Schizosaccharomyces pombe: one gene and its partners. The gene in region 3 interacts genetically with the main gene of each other region. Each region holds a gene or a part of one and is shown on either strand. Other genes may lie near its edges.

Region 1 (3,945 bases), on a different chromosome or scaffold from region 3:
ATAACAGCAATAACTGAACTTAATAACATAGGTTCACTAGAGCTTTCTTGTATAATAGTTCAATCAATAATTTGTAGGTCTTAAAATGCGTTCATGGATGCGCTAGCGATATAAGCTTACCAAAGTGTGGAATAAAGAATACAGTGACGAATGAAGCTACTAAATAGTGCAATTTAGTGAATATTCCTTTTGTTATAGATAGGTAACATGGGTAACGATGCTCAGTAAGCTCATTCAAACATGACACAGCCGGCTTCGTACAGCTTACATTACCCAACGACATATACATACTTTTGTTGTACCTGTCCCGTATTTGTGGACACTGGAAAAGTAGAATACTTAGAATGAGATTACCTCTGCTGAGTTTTGTTATATTTGCGCTTTTTGCGCTTGTATTTGCATCAGGTGTTGTAGAGCTCCAAAGTCTCAATGAGTTGGAGAATACTATCCGAGCTTCTAAAAAAGGAGCATTGATTGAGTTTTACGCCACCTGGTGTGGACATTGTAAATCTTTAGCGCCAGTGTATGAAGAACTTGGCGCTCTTTTCGAAGACCACAATGATGTCTTGATTGGCAAAATTGATGCGGATACACACTCCGATGTTGCTGATAAATACCACATTACTGGTTTTCCAACACTGATCTGGTTTCCTCCTGATGGATCTGAACCAGTTCAGTACTCCAATGCTCGCGACGTTGACAGTTTGACTCAATTTGTGTCTGAGAAAACTGGTATCAAAAAACGCAAGATTGTCCTCCCTAGCAATGTAGTTGAGCTCGATTCTTTGAATTTTGACAAGGTTGTTATGGACGATAAAAAAGATGTTTTAGTTGAATTTTATGCGGATTGGTGCGGTTATTGCAAGCGTTTGGCTCCTACTTACGAAACTCTTGGCAAGGTATTCAAAAACGAACCAAACGTTGAGATTGTTAAAATTAATGCAGACGTCTTTGCTGACATCGGAAGGCTACATGAAGTTGCAAGCTTTCCCACCATCAAATTCTTTCCTAAAGATGATAAAGATAAGCCTGAATTATACGAAGGAGATCGTTCTTTAGAATCTTTGATCGAGTACATTAATAAGAAATCTGGAACTCAACGTTCTCCCGATGGCACTTTACTTTCTACTGCCGGCCGTATTCCAACTTTCGATGAATTTGCTGCTGAGTTTTTGGATATGTCAAACGCTGCCAAGGAAGTTGTTCTTGAAAAAGTCAAGCAGTTAGCCTTAGAGGATTCATCTAGATGGACTAAGTATTACAAGAAGGTTTTTGAGAAGATTTTAAATGATGAAAATTGGGTACATAAAGAAGCTAAGCGTTTGTCTAAACTTTTACGCCAGAAGAGCATCGCTTTGGCCAGTGCTGATGATTTTAAAACTCGCCTTAACATTCTAAATTCCTTCCTTCCTGGTAATCACTAGTGATTTGGAAATGTTTGCTACGTTATAGGTGAAAAAACTTAATCTTATGACCGTAGGTTTATAAATAAATCAACAGTTTCATGATATTTTCGATAAATACTGAGGAATATGTAGGTTAAAGTATTACCCTTTAACAATTTTTTATGTACTTATAAAAATAGATTTTCTCTCCATTAATGATTTGTGTCTTTTTTAGTTTCTACGTATATGATAAACTAAAGACAATAATTAATATTAAATAGAACGTTGTAGGTAAATTCAACAGCTATATACTCTAACAGGCTTTTATCCTTAAAATTGAAATCCAAATCCTACATATAATTATTCCTTATCAATGGGCTATAAGGCTTTCCGTTATTTTACCACTACTAGATGGGCCGTTGATTTGTAAAGGTGAAGACAAGTCGTATTCCACTAAAATTTATCCTTTTTTTAAAAAATAAATTTCAACAGTAACTTTGTAGATTTTTTTTAAAATGTCTCCGAAGTCGAAAAGCACAAATAAGACTTACACAATTGTCATCAAACTTGGTAAGCACGGAATAGTAAGCTATACAAAAGCATATGTATGAATTTTATATCTCACTTTTTCAAATATGTATTTCTTTGTTTGCTCGTTGTTGGCATCACAAACGCTTTGCTAACATTATTTTAGGCACATCGTCAATTTGTGATGAAAAGACTCATGAACCATTAATTTCAAATTTGTCACTAATCGTTGAAACCGTTGTCAAGCTTCGAAAGTTGGGTCATAATGTCGTTTTGGTTTCAAGTGGTGGTATTGCAATGGGCCTTCGTAGATTAGATTTACCTAAGCGTCCTTCAAAGCTTTCTGCTGTACAAGCAATTGCCGCGGTCGGTCAAGGAAGACTAATTTCCTTATGGGATACCTTATTTACACAACTTCGTCAGCCTATTGCGCAAGTTTTAATCACTAGAAACGACATTGCCGAGGTAAGATTCAGATAATTATTGTTGACACTTAAAAAATTATTTTAATTACTGACGGGTACTAACTATTAATATTTAGAGATCCCAATATGTAAATGCAGCGAACACAATTTCCGAGTTGCTACATTTTGGGGTAGTTCCCATTGTAAATGAAAATGATACTCTGTCTGTTCAAGAAATCCGTTTTGGTGATAACGATACTTTATCGGCAATTACAGCTGGCATGATAAACGCAGATTATTTGTTTTTACTTACAGATGTTGATTGTTTGTATACAGACAACCCACGTACCAACCCTGACGCTAAGCCTATTTTAAAAATTCATGATACATCAATGGTAAATGCAAACGTTTCCACACCCGGTAGTGGAGTTGGAACAGGGGGAATGAAGACGAAATTGATCGCTGCAGATTTGGGAACGTCTTCAGGCGTAAATGTTATAATATGTCGTGGTTCTAAACCTTCGAGTATATTCGATATAATCCGTCAGGAATCCTCTGATAATAAAAATGAGTCAGTTGAATTACCTCTGCATACCCACTTTGTAGCCAAAAAGCAAGGAAGGATCCGTGATCGACACTTTTGGCTTTTGCACGGCCTTAAATCACATGGGAGTTTGGAAATTGATCGTGGGGCTTTCGAGGCTATAACCCGTACAAATAGAGCAGGATTACTACCAGTTGGTGTAACCAAAGTACATGGCCATTTTTCAGCTCACCAAGCAGTTACGGTTATTTACAACGGAGAGGAAATTGGCAGAGCCCTTGTTAATTACAGCAGTACTGAAATAGATTTGATTAAAGGCAAGAGAAGCAAAGAAATTGCATCCATCTTAGGATATAACGAAACTGAATATGTCGCCTACAGAGACTATTTAGTAGTTCATGGTTTAAATTCTCATCATGATTCACAAGTTAGTTCTGATGAGCATTGATGTATATATTTAATCACTAGCTTATTTAGAACTACTAAAATTTGTTTTTGCTCTGTTTTTTACCTTTATTATTGGCTTACTGTTATTGAAATTTTTTTGTTATAGAAGGAAGGTTTACGAACTTAATATACAAAAACAGAACCATAAATATCTATTAGAAAATTTATTAAGATTTGTTTATTTTTGTTAAAAAACTATTAACCTTAGATAATAATCAGACGTTTTGTACTGAGTTGTGTAATTAACAAAGTACATTTTGTTGGTATTATATCGGATACTTCCTACGAAGCCTGTGATTGGATTTGGCTTTCATAAACGATGAATATAAGTACACGCAATTCCAACCTCCCCTTGATACAGTAAAACTTACAAAGAAAACAATGAGTAGCTCGACTTACAGGAAATTGCCTAAAATCTTAGCTGCAGGTCTTGCTATTGGTTGCGCAGGTGGTTATTATGCTTATAAAAATTCGAATAAGCCCCCAGGACTTAATCCCGAAATTTATGCTCCATTTACAGTTAATAAAATTACAGAGCTTACATCCGATGCTAGCTTGTTTTCGTTAGTTCCTCAGAGCCCTTCTGAACACCTTACTACTTTGGAACCGATTGCTAAGGTAACAATTCGTGATCCCA
Region 2 (3,207 bases), on a different chromosome or scaffold from region 3:
AATAAATAATTGTGAATACAATAACAAACACTGAAATAAACAACAGTAAGTGTATTCTTTAATTTTCCAAAGAAGAAGTTTTTCTTAATAAAGGTATTCTTATTGATCCTTTTTTATTGTTTTTTTTGAGAAATCGAGTAAATAATTTTTTTGGCGTAATGTGTGATTGTTAAGGTGGAGCAGCAGCCTTGGTATTAGCAATTAAAACATTCGTTCAAATTCTATCATTCAGTAACAACAAAAAATAATTATAGTTGACGAGTCAATAGAAACACTATGAACCTGACTTTTACTCTATATTAATAATCAAATATAGAATAAATACATAGTGTTCCATTACTTGCTATCATACTATGCTATTGAACTTTTATTTATATCTTAAATAAAATCTTTTAGAACTTTTAAGAACAAGTATGTACTTATGTTTGTATAAATATTAAGAACTCATTACAACAAATGAGTCCAATGCAAAAGCTGGCGTTGAGCCAGTAATCTAATTGCCGTCTTTAACTTATCATGAACATTATTGTATTTTTCACATACTATTCTATAAATGAGAATATTACAAAAACAATGAGTTATTATGCTCCTGAGTTGTAATGTACTTAGTTTGCTAATTATCTTCGTTCAATATCTTTGCCGCTTTAGAGAATTCCTGGAGCAAACAGTCCAAAGATTCTCTTCTCTTCTCTTTATGTTTTTCATATTCTAGGTATTCATAATCCTCTAGCTCTTTTGTAGCCTTCAAAGTAACAGTAGACGAACTTGCTTTTTTCTTAGCAAGCGACATTTCAATATGCTTTTTAAAGGATGATATATCAAAACATCGACTTCTTTTTTTCCTCTTCAGCTTCATCAGTTTGTATTGGGAGTAAGCCGATCGATCATCTGACGTCGAAGGATAACTGCAATCAGAAATATCTCGGGTGCTTCTTTGAGGATGTAACTTCAAAGGAATGAGTCCATGGTCTTTTATATCCTCGCTTAAATACATTTCTTGTTCTTTGCTCAAATCCATGATAAAACAACGACCTCGCTTCTCCTTTTCTAAATGTTCACCAATACGAAAAGTCGATCTGACTACCAACGCAAATAGCCTTCCTAAGATTGTATCAGTTGCTTCACTTTTTCAATTTCTCTTTCAAGTCTTTGGATTTCAGAAGTTTCACGCTGTAGAATATTCTCCCTAGCAGACACCTGATCGGTTTGTCGTTTTTCAAGTTGCTGCAATTGCTCTTTCTGTTCCAGTAAAACGTTTTCCAAATTCTCAATTCCTGACATATGTAAGTTGTATTTCTCAACCAGAGTCTCCAAATATTCACGGCCACCTTGCATAGGATATATATCTAGTAGTTCCTCAATACAAGCAACGTAGTCTGCAGGGTTTTCTGATGCCAACCTTTCACTCCAATCCTTCGGTAGAGATTTGAACTCAGCTGCAATTAGTTCTTCCTTCTGAGTATCGCGAATTAAATCAGTTATAGCATGAGTATGTAGCACCGCGTCTGTGAAACGTGCTGCGTTTGGGTTTTCCGGTTCCAAAAGTTTTTCTGATGTAGCAGCAATAGACTGTAAATAATTCAACAAATCAGACATTTATTTAATAAGTCATCAAAAACACTAATTCGACTCGTAATTAGTAAAAGGTATGTTTCAATTCACTTTACCAGAGTTGCCAAAAGTGTATGCAATCTCTGGGTGTGTGCAGGTGGTTTAACCAAAACGTAATAAACGTTTGGTATCTTTGATATAATGGAAATCACCTGTGCCTGTTTTTGAAATTCTGTTCTCGCTCAGCAAATTATTTTAACAAAGGTAAAGCATTGCGTTCATTCCTTGCTATTTTCCTTTATTTGCTACACCGAATCATTCTTACGTTTACGCTTTAGGCACACATTTCTTCAGCTCAGATTATCCATTAATAATTATATGTAAAACTTTTATAAAGGTTAATACACGCTAAAAATTTCGTAATCCTCAGTGCAGTTTTGATGAGTTTGCAATTGTTGGACTCTACTTCGCAATCGTGATCTAATCAAAATCTACAACTTTCTAAGTCTGCCAGATTTATAGAACTAAAGGTTTGAGAATTATCCTTCTCTTAGTTCTTTTATTCATATATACCATCTATTAAAAAGTTGCCTCTTTGGAGGCTATTTGAGGTTTTTCTGACTGAACGTTTCGTCTGTTTTTCATATTCTATCAGCCAAGTTTATTCTATTTAAATATAGATTTAAAAACTTTAATTATCTTAAATAGAAGAGCAGTATATTGGGTATAACTAACAGCTTGAAGCTCTGACATCTTAAAGTGTTGTATTAATAAAAATGCTAGAACGATGTCCCTGGAAATTAATCAGCTCGCCAAGAAATATTCCAGCTCGCTCTTTTCTTAATTCTCGTGGAACTTATCTTGTTTTAAGAAAGTCAAATATATTACCTCTTCAACATATACTGCGGTTTTCCAATTTTGCATCTAAGCAATGTTTCCCACTTAGAAATGGAAATAATTCGGCTTCAAAAGCGTTATGGAATAACAAATCAAAAGAAAAAGAGCCACTGAATACTTCTGTTAAACTTGCTTCCGATGTACCAGATGATAAAAATGTAACAGGACAAATGATTGTTAAGGACATGCTTCAATATATTTGGCCCAAGGGGAAGACTAATTTGAAAGTTAGAGTTGTTTCGGCTCTCGCACTACTTGTAGCTGCCAAAATTCTTAACGTCCAAGTTCCTTTTTACTTTAAATCAATTATCGATACCATGAATACAACACTTGTTCAAGAAGTAGGAGCATTGTGGTCTACTGTAGGAGCTGTTGTTCTCGGTTATGGCTTTGCTAGAATATTTTCTACCGTTTTTCAAGAGTTAAGGAATAGCGTTTTTGCAATTGTGTCGCAAAGCGCTATTCGAAGTGTTTCTAGCAATGTCTATCAACATCTGTTGAACCTTGACATGAATTTTCATCTCTCAAAGCAAACAGGAAGTATTACTAGAGCAATGGATCGTGGTACAAAAGGTATTAGTTTCATTCTTTCCTCCATGGTGTTACACATCATTCCTATTACCCTTGAAATTGCTATGGTGAGTGGTATTCTCACTTACAAGTACGGACCTTCGTTTTCGGCCATTGCTGCTACAACCGTTGCTCTTTATGCTCTTTTTACTGTTAGGACGACATCCTGGAGAACTGTATTCCGTCGTC
Region 3 (9,090 bases):
AATTCTTCTGCTTCGGCCATTGCTGCTGCTTCTAAGAGTGCTGCCGCTTCTGCTTCTGCTCTTTCTTCTGATACAGGTCGTTCTGCTACCATGAATTCCACCACTTTTCCTACCGCTATGAAAAGTCAGTCTACGACTAAACCGACGCTTTCCAATTCGGTATCTAGCCCTTCTATTCAGGTGTCAAACAATCAAAATGCTAACAATAGCACTCCCCTCTCCTTCCATGCGCCAATTCCTCCACTCCATGTTCCTGCCGTCCCCCTTACGTCTGCATCGCATTCATCCAGCGATGGAAAATCGCGCAAGCATCCTAGCCCATATAAACCATACTTAAACTCTTCTCATGATACCCTTGGTTCTTCCACTCGACCGTCTTCCGCTGACACAGCCGGATCACCTGCTACATCTCCTCCGGCAACCGCTGATTCTAAGACAATTGTGTCAAAAACTATCTCAGCTAGTACTACTCAACAAACTGAACCTCTTCAACAGACCACTCCTTCAAGTGATTTTGAATATGCTATTATGAATGAAATTATTTCTAACCATGAACCTGTCTACTGGTCGGACATTGCCGGATTAGATGACGCTAAAAATTCCTTGAAAGAGGCAGTCATTTATCCGTTTTTACGCCCGGAACTTTTCCAAGGATTGCGTGAACCCGTACAAGGCATGCTTCTTTTTGGCCCCCCTGGCACCGGCAAAACCATGCTTGCTCGTGCTGTTGCGACCGAAGCGAAAGCCACATTTTTTTCGATTTCGGCTTCATCATTAACCTCGAAATATGTAAGCAAGTTTTATATTTAACCCCATTCTTAACTAACCTTGATTTAGCTTGGTGATTCTGAAAAGTTGGTTCGAGCCCTTTTTGAAGTTGCGAAGCGCCAGACATGTAGCGTTATCTTTGTTGATGAAATTGATTCCATTCTTTCCGCTCGTAATGACAGCGGTAATGAGCACGAGAGCTCTCGTAGATTAAAAACAGAATTTTTAATTCAATGGTCTTCGTTAACTAATGCGGCTCCGGACAAGCAAACTGGTCACTCTCCCCGTGTTTTGGTGCTGGCAGCTACAAATCTTCCGTGGTGTATTGATGAGGCTGCTCGACGCCGATTCGTTAAAAGAACCTATATTCCGTTACCTGAAAAAGAAACAAGATATAAACATCTTTCTCATTTGCTTCATAATCAAGTACACTGTTTGACGGAGGAGGATCTGGAAGAACTTGTCAATCTTACCGAAGGTATGTATATAAATAATTCGATTGGTTAGTTAACTAACGCCATCTAGGTTATTCAGGCTCTGATATCACTGCTTTAGCCAAAGACGCAGCAATGGGTCCTTTAAGAAACTTGGGTGATGCTCTACTTACCACCAGTGCAGAGATGATACCTCCGATCAGCTTGAATCATTTTAAAGCTAGCCTTCGTACTATTCGTCCAAGTGTCTCACAAGAGGGTATTCATCGTTACGAAGAGTGGAATAAACAATTTGGTTCGCAACGTTAAAACAACTTTGTAGAGTATTCTACCTTTAATATTTTCAAGAAATCATATATTCTTTTGCATCAAAAAGGCAGGGTATCCTTTAATTTATTCAAACTTCCTTTCTCTCTTTTTAATTTTATCCTTTAATGTTTCTTAACGAATCATTTGGGTATCGTTTTTCTGGATATTATGAGAATTACCGTGCATTTAGGGATTGAATCGTGGATGCTGATTTTCATGTGGTTTCAATAACTTTCTTTTGCATAAACTTGGCTTATTACGAATTTTAATTTCTGTTTACCTTCATTTTATTTTCGTCTTTCCTACAACAACTAAAATGTATTCGTGATTTGACTATCGCTATAAACGACATTTTAAATCATAGCCGACTTGACAGCGCCTTTTACAAATGCTCCCCTTTTGTATTTTCCATCAATTCTCTTTATTTTATTTTTTCCATTTATCGTCATATTTATTTCGTTTACATACAGCCTCAACCTATTGGGCTACTTTTTTTCCCTTCACTATTCTCCAATTTTGAACAATAATTATTAGTTATTTAATGTTTGGAAAAGGGTATTGCTTTACTTGAATCGCATTTTTACGGCAATTAACTTATAGCTTTTATTGAAATAACATTTCAACCTCTTGTTTGTATACTGAATTAAATGTTTTAAAATTTATTTAAAGGTCATAATAGTAGCGTTTAAAGCATTGCAGGTTGAAAATGAAATCATGAATATATAGAAATTGGATTTCAGTATTCGATATTGTCACCTTTGTTACTTCTGGGAGTGGGTGTTTCTCACCGAATGGGTTTGACTTGACATGATTATTGAACCACTGCTTTATATATGTAAACGTGTTTTTGACCTTAGGACGTTTACCACCTTTAAAAGAGCTACATAAAGAGCGGAATTATACAATAGTACCGAATGGTTCCAAAGTTGTTTCAATCGAGCCGTTTTAAGGCATTTAAAAAAAGCGAAACAAGTGAATTACAAAAGGGACTAGTTTCTCAGTATGCCTACGAGAGAATTGATGCTGTGAAACGGACTATTGCCGCAATGACTGTTGGCAAGGATGTGTCTAGTCTGTTTCCCGATGTTTTAAAGAACCTAGCTACTCGCGATATCACCTTGAAAAAACTGGTTTATTTATATCTAATTAACTATGCCAAAACACACCCTGATCTTTGTATTTTAGCCGTTAATACTTTTGTAAAGGATTCTGAGGAATATAATCCTACTTTACGAGCTCTGGCAATTAGAACTATGGGTTGCATTCGGGTAAATAAAATCATTGGCTATTTGGCAGATCCGTTGCGAAAAGCTTTGAAGGATGAGCATCCCTATGTTCGTAAGGCTGCAGCGGTTTGTGTTGTAAAGATGTATGACCTTGATCGAGAATACTGTGCATCAAATGGTTTCATCGAACAATTGCAGGCGTTGGTATCTGATCCGAATCCTGTGGTTGTGGCTAATGCAGTCCGCTCACTTGCTGAAATTCATGATCAGGACCCTGAAAAGGGATATTTTAATGTAGTTTACACGATGACAGACAGGCTAATGGTTGCTTTGAGTGAGTGTAATGAGTGGGGTCGGATTACTATTTTGAATTCTTTAGCTAGATTTCGCACTTCTGATATCAAGGAAGCTGAATATGTTTGTGAAAGGGTGGTTCCTCAATTCCAACATGCAAATAGTGGTGTCGTTTTGTCCGCTGTGAAAGTCATAATGGTACATATCCCTCTCTTTTCCAGTGACTTTACAGACTTTCTGTACAAAAAAATGGCTCCTCCTCTTTTGACGCTACTTTCTACGGACTCAGAAATCCAGTATGTAGCCTTACGGAACATTAATTTAATATTACAAAAGAGGCCTTCTATTTTTGATGTCAAAACTCGGGTTTTTTTCTGCAAATATAATGATCCTCTTTATATTAAAATGGAGAAACTAAAGATAATTACAATGCTTGCATGTGACGAAAACATTAACGAGACCATTTCCGAGCTTCGAGCGTACGTTTCCGAAGTTGAACTAGAATTTGTGAAACAAACGATTAAATGCCTTGGAGACGTTGCATTGAAAGTTCCAAGCGTCATCAATGATTGCATCTCCATATTTCTTGAAATCTATGAGTTAAATATTAGTTATATGGTTCAAGAAGTCACGGTGGTGATGGAAACGGTTTTGCGCAAATACCCTCAAAAGATTGACTTATTACTTCCATATCTTTCTCGTGTCATTGAGGAGCTTGGTGACCCTAGAGCCCGTAGTAGTATGGCTTGGATTTTAGGGGAATTTTCACACGTTATACCTACTTCTTCTAAACTATTATCCGAAATGATTTCTACTATGGCGGATGAAGATTTACAGATTCAATTGGCTTTACTGACGGCTGTTGTAAAATTGAGTTTGATGAACGGCAAAGGAAACGATGAAGAACTCGTACAGAAAGTATTAAATTATGCAATTAATCAATCAAGCAATCAGGATTTAAGGGATCGTGCCTTTGCATATCAGCGGTTGTTGACACCTGAAAATGTTCGTAAAGCTCAAAAAATTGTTTGTTGCGAAAAGCCTTCCGTATCTTATAATAACAATCTACCTGAGGCACTTTTGGATGCTCTGTTGTGTGAAATCACAACTCTTGCTTCTGTATACCATAAATTACCGGAATCCTTTATTGGCCAGGGCAAGTTTGGCGCAGACGCAATACAGCGTCGAGCTGTTGAAGAATTGAACATTGAAGAAGCCAATGTTCATGAAGCTATTGAAAAAGGAGCCAACGTTGAAAATTTGCTTGACCTTGATTTTACTGATCCAGGCGCAACGTCTGCCAGTGATTCTCCAATAACCAGCGCACAACCTCAGTCGGGCTCAAATAGTGCAATGGATTTGTTCATGGCTTTTGAGGCACCGAGCACAAATAACGCTGAACCTGTAAAGGCTAGATCGGCAACAGATGATCTGTTAGGGCTTTAAAGATAAACGACAGATGAGTGGCATGATAGATGATGATTTGTTTTATTAATATTTATCTCGTTTCGTTTGTCTAATGGGAAAAACGGGATAAGGTTGATTGATGCACATCTAGTTTATGAAGATATGTTTCAATTGTTGTTTTTTCCCAAATCAGAAAGTCAATTTTAACATAGAAAGCATGTTCTTCTTTCGTTTTTATAAATAAATAAAAAAATATTTGTTAAAATGGATGCGAAGCAAAAATAGGGACTGCTCATTGCAGTAATCATTATCACTGAGGTGCTATCACGAGTGGTACAGATTGTAATGTTAATTATAGGCGTTTTTTAATCTGTACGAATGTAATGATTATCCCTGGCGATATTCGTTTTTGAATTCATTCCAATATATATATATATATATATATACATACATACGTAAGTGAGATGAAAATGTTAAGGAGATTTATGGGTGCTTTAGGCACGTACGGAGAAGCTTTTGATATGCTTTCCTGGAATCACCACTAAACCCAAAGCTCTAGAGAAGCCTGATTTCATTATATTAGTTTTGACGAAATTGGTGAAAAACAGAAAGAGGTACTAGCTGGAACGTTTGTTTTCAATTTAAACAGTAACCCAGCGAAAGTTTACTTGAATTTGAGGGACGCGCTATTCATGAACACATATCAATCTTACCTTTGTTGTATTCTGTGGTATTTGAGAGAATGGCAGCGCCTTCTCTGTCAGTGCACAAGAACTTTCCGATGAATTTTCTCTCATCAAAAATTTCAATATGAACTGACCGATTGAGCCAGCTGGTCAGTAAAATCTCTCCATTTTCCATGATCAAGGAAAATTCATCAAGCTTGGGGGAAGTGAAATCAATAGCAGTGGATATACATACTCTGAAAATACTAAACATTAACGCAATGCACAAAATTTGAACATCGTATTGTAAAAAGTAATGTAGTGCCATTAATATAACGCTATGCTATGATACACTACGTTGCGTATCACTATATGTCATATGTTGGAATACTAGCTAAGATCCGTTTATTGATAATCACGGGTAATTATCCGTCTATATACATAGATACCCGTTAATAACAACTATTTAGAAATATTATAAATAGCGTTACAACTGAACCTCGTTCCTCAGTTCAGTTATGAGCTATATTAGTGATAGGTAACATTATAACCCAGTTAATACAATACCTATACTCAGTTGCTACTTATACAACCTGTGTATTGTAATATAAATAGACCATAAGGAAAACTCACCGCAGTTCTCCGTATCCTTAAATCAGATACCAAACTGCGTAACATTAGGGAGAATTGAAAACTGTGCAATTAACATTGGTATTTTAAACAACGGAATTGGTGCATGTCTTTACATAGTATACGATATCACCTTAAGTATCACAAACTACGTATAATAGAGTAACTGAATGTGGGGTGAGTAATGGCAACGTAATGCTCTATAACATAGCGCGGACTATCCCATTTGCGATTTTATTTTGTATCGATCTTTTAGCATGTTGAAGAGTGTGTTTTGATGAAAGAGAAGGTAGATTACTATAATTACCGATCCTAAATACAACATGAATGTATTCTCATAAAGAATGGTTGAAATTATAATCCAGAAAGTAGGTATTTTTTCCTACTGATTTCAACCCTCTACGCTTCGCATCGTTATTTAGTATACAGTTGGTACAGTAGGATATCAAGGCCGTATACATACTATTTACATCGCGGTATCCAAAAATAGTTTAAACAAATGCCGTGAATAGTTTGTCTTTGCATCCATTTATGCAATTGATAGAGTTTCATGAAAACGTTCTAAGCTTGCCGAGTCAAAAACTGCCTTTCGACGGCAAGACACTAGGCAACTTCGTCCCAATGCAGTACTGGAAATTTCAAGGAGAGGGAATTGTAGCAGTCTAGTGCAAAGTAAAGTGAATTCATGAACCGACTTGTCATGTGAGTTTTATTATTAAGAACTCATTGTATGAGAAAAAAAGAGGGAATCGTTTCGTTAATGGGTTTTTTAAGGGGTTCGTTCATCTCCAATTTACAAGTTTATGGGTCACTTGACATTTTCTCTACTTTAACAAAAACTGCTACGGTTCCTCAATTCCCTGTTGATTGATAACGGATATGAACATAGAGTTGTTGATATCAGAGTAAAGTATTTTAAGCGATCTCGGTTATATACTAAAACATTGGGAAATCTTCCTATTTTGAAAGCCAGCAAACCAGCTTCATTTTAACTATGTCTTTCCAACCAGCGATGTAGGAAAGCTTGGTAACTTTAACTCTCGCAAAGTGTCGATAAGTTTGCGTAACGAGTTGACTGTTTTATCTCGCTTATAAAGGTTAAAACATTTCTACAATAATAGACCGTGCTACGAAACAGTAAAATTATGTGTTTGTAAAAAATACTTATGGTAATAGGTTCAACCGAGCTCCCTCCAGCACATAAAATTCATCGTTATATGAATAGCCAAACTTCATCTCGTTTTTTCCCCTATGATCAAATTTTGTCGAACAGGAAAAAGTTGAGTCGCTTTACATTACAGAAATTTCGATATTATCGCATGTCACGCCATTGAATTTTTGGCATTACTATTGCACCCCGAAAGCTGCACTCAGTCTGACCAAAATCTTAACGGTCACAGGGGCGAAATACAATATACAGCAATCGGGTGCAGCGAAATCACCTATCGTAGTCCATCGGTACTCTATCCTTGTTAATGAAGTAGAAGGCTGGTATCGATAAAATATGTTTTCGAGATGGGCCGAGAGTTCGTTAAAAAAATGAAAAATTTAAATGGGTTGGATATTCTAGCAGTCGATTATTGGCTTTCTTTTCTTTTCTTCCTTTAAATATTATTATTATTAATACTCTTTAATCAATTGCCTCTCTTTTTCTAGAGTTTCCTTTTTTTCTGGCTTACTTTTTCGCATTCTGCCAAGGTGCCCTATTAAACAAAAGGTAATCAATAGTACCCTTCTAATGCAAGAAAAAAGTCTCCAATTCGCTTTTCCCCCTTTGCAATATCAGTAAGCAAATAACTCCATCCAAGCTCATTAGATGGGATAGCACATACACACATGCTACAAACCTTCAATTTTACCCGTTTACCCGACTTTCCAGCAGCACATAGAAGATGGACAAGGGGCATGGCAAATGTGCATGCATATGGCAAACAAATATGTGCAAAATGACATTATTAAACGATCATAGCAGTTCGAAATGGACTTGGTAAAACAGTCAACTCTTGGCTGTTAAGGAGGAATAGTAAGTTATCAGTTTAAGCCACAGTATGTATGGTATGGGAAAAAACATCGGAAATTTGGATAGAAAAAGTATTATGAGTGAGATGAAAAAACTCTTAGAGGAAGTGTTTTGAGTCGGAATATTTATGATAAGTATTGATGTTGAACAGTTTTTCATTTAAATTTTTATTATAATTATTATTAAATTTTTTTTTTTAATTTTTTTTTTTTTTTTATTTACTTTATGTCAGAGTTATGCTTACTTGATGGATTATTGTGTCTAAACTTACAAAATTAATAATTTTATATTAAATTTGAATTTTCTCTTTAATTTACGTCCACTAAATTTAATAATTAAATGAAATAGAATAGAATTGTATATTTCATAATTTTTCGTCATTGCATATCATTTTTTTATTTTTTATTTTATTTTATTTTTTTCTTTATTCTTTTTGATTTATTTTATTTGCTTTTACTCAATGTTGATTTTCTTTTTAATTTATTAATGTTTTCAATTTATCCTCCTTTTATTTGCAAGGTATCTTTTTTTTTTAATACCATACAACACCGTTGCGTATAGAAAACCTTGTGTACATTCATTTTATTCAATTATTCACCCATCATCCACATTTATAACCTTCGAATAAGCTTACGATAGAGTTTGTTTTAGATTTCTGTACTTGTTACTAATCTATGTAAGTTTTCTATGAATAAACCAATTTATATTTTAGCAAATCTATTTTTGTAGAGCGATGCTTTCTCTCGTTTACCCAGGTTTCCCCAAATAGTCAAGTGAGCTTAAAGAGACGACGATCTACATGAAACTAGAAAACAACAAATGAACGTGACAATAAGATTAAATCATAAATAAAAACAATGTTATTTCTGGAAATTAAACGAAAAATCATCACATTTAGGCAATATGCAGAAGATTTTGTCAGATCACTGGATTTAAGTCGTAAATTTTGTTCCTTTCTTCTTTAGTCAATCTTCCTATCTAGTGCGGGTTTTCTTATTAGTCTATGTAAATTCAGAAAAGCAGTATAAAATTTTTAGACGCTCTCTCATCAAGTATATAAAATGGAACACATCAGTTACTCGCAGGAATGGAAAAAAATTCGCTAATAAATCTCCCAAATTCGTTTACTGTTTCACCATAGACTTTTTAAGGACTGAAGAAAATAATCTCTTTGTTTTTCTCTTTTTCCTTTCCTTTCCTTTTTTTTTTTTTTTTTTTTTCTTTAAGATAGTACTCACATAGGGAAATCTCAAGCCATTCAAGCATTCGGATAAATCCGGTACGGTAATATTTTATCCAACATTGCAATATGGTCAGGAAGGTTAAAAAAGTTATTT

What was found. A genetic interaction does not mean that the proteins touch.
Region 1: mutations in naa38 (region 3) and pro2 together harm fitness more than expected from each alone (negative genetic interaction), as found in Schizosaccharomyces pombe (one large-scale study listed by BioGRID).
Region 2: mutations in naa38 (region 3) and spc34 together harm fitness more than expected from each alone (negative genetic interaction), as found in Schizosaccharomyces pombe (one large-scale study listed by BioGRID).

The regions. Positions count from the first base shown.
Region 1 is NC_003424.3:2,026,708-2,030,652, reverse strand, and holds pro2 (glutamate 5-kinase), read left to right. Parts: upstream 1-1,785; 5' UTR 1,786-1,900; coding exon 1,901-1,955; intron 1,956-2,079; coding exon 2,080-2,378; exon of another isoform or gene 2,379-2,454; coding exon 2,455-3,309; 3' UTR 3,310-3,445; downstream 3,446-3,945. Other genes in the region: ER protein disulfide isomerase Pdi2, read left to right, coding at 345-1,424; cytochrome c-heme-linkage protein Cyc2, read left to right, coding at 3,690-3,945.
Region 2 is NC_003424.3:3,673,199-3,676,405, forward strand, and holds spc34 (DASH complex subunit Spc34), read right to left. Parts: upstream 1,697-3,207; 5' UTR 1,597-1,696; coding exon 1,102-1,596; 3' UTR 501-1,101; downstream 1-500. Other genes in the region: ABC family Fe transporter Atm1, read left to right, coding at 2,328-3,207. UniProt on the Schizosaccharomyces pombe protein: Component of the DASH complex that connects microtubules with kinetochores and couples microtubule depolymerisation to chromosome movement; it is involved in retrieving kinetochores to the spindle poles before their re-orientation on the spindle in early mitosis and allows microtubule depolymerization to pull chromosomes apart and resist detachment during anaphase.
Region 3 is NC_003423.3:672,970-682,059, reverse strand, and holds naa38 (putative NatC N-acetyltransferase non-catalytic subunit Naa38), read right to left. Parts: upstream 5,324-9,090; 5' UTR 5,300-5,323; coding exon 5,152-5,299; exon of another isoform or gene 5,004-5,151; coding exon 4,933-5,003; 3' UTR 4,478-4,932; downstream 1-4,477. Other genes in the region: knk1 (AAA family ATPase), read left to right, coding at 1-789, 838-1,246, 1,294-1,511; AP-1 adaptor complex beta subunit Apl2, read left to right, coding at 2,426-4,477. UniProt on the Schizosaccharomyces pombe protein: Component of the NatC N-terminal acetyltransferase, which associates with the ribosome to acetylate nascent protein chains in a cotranslational manner.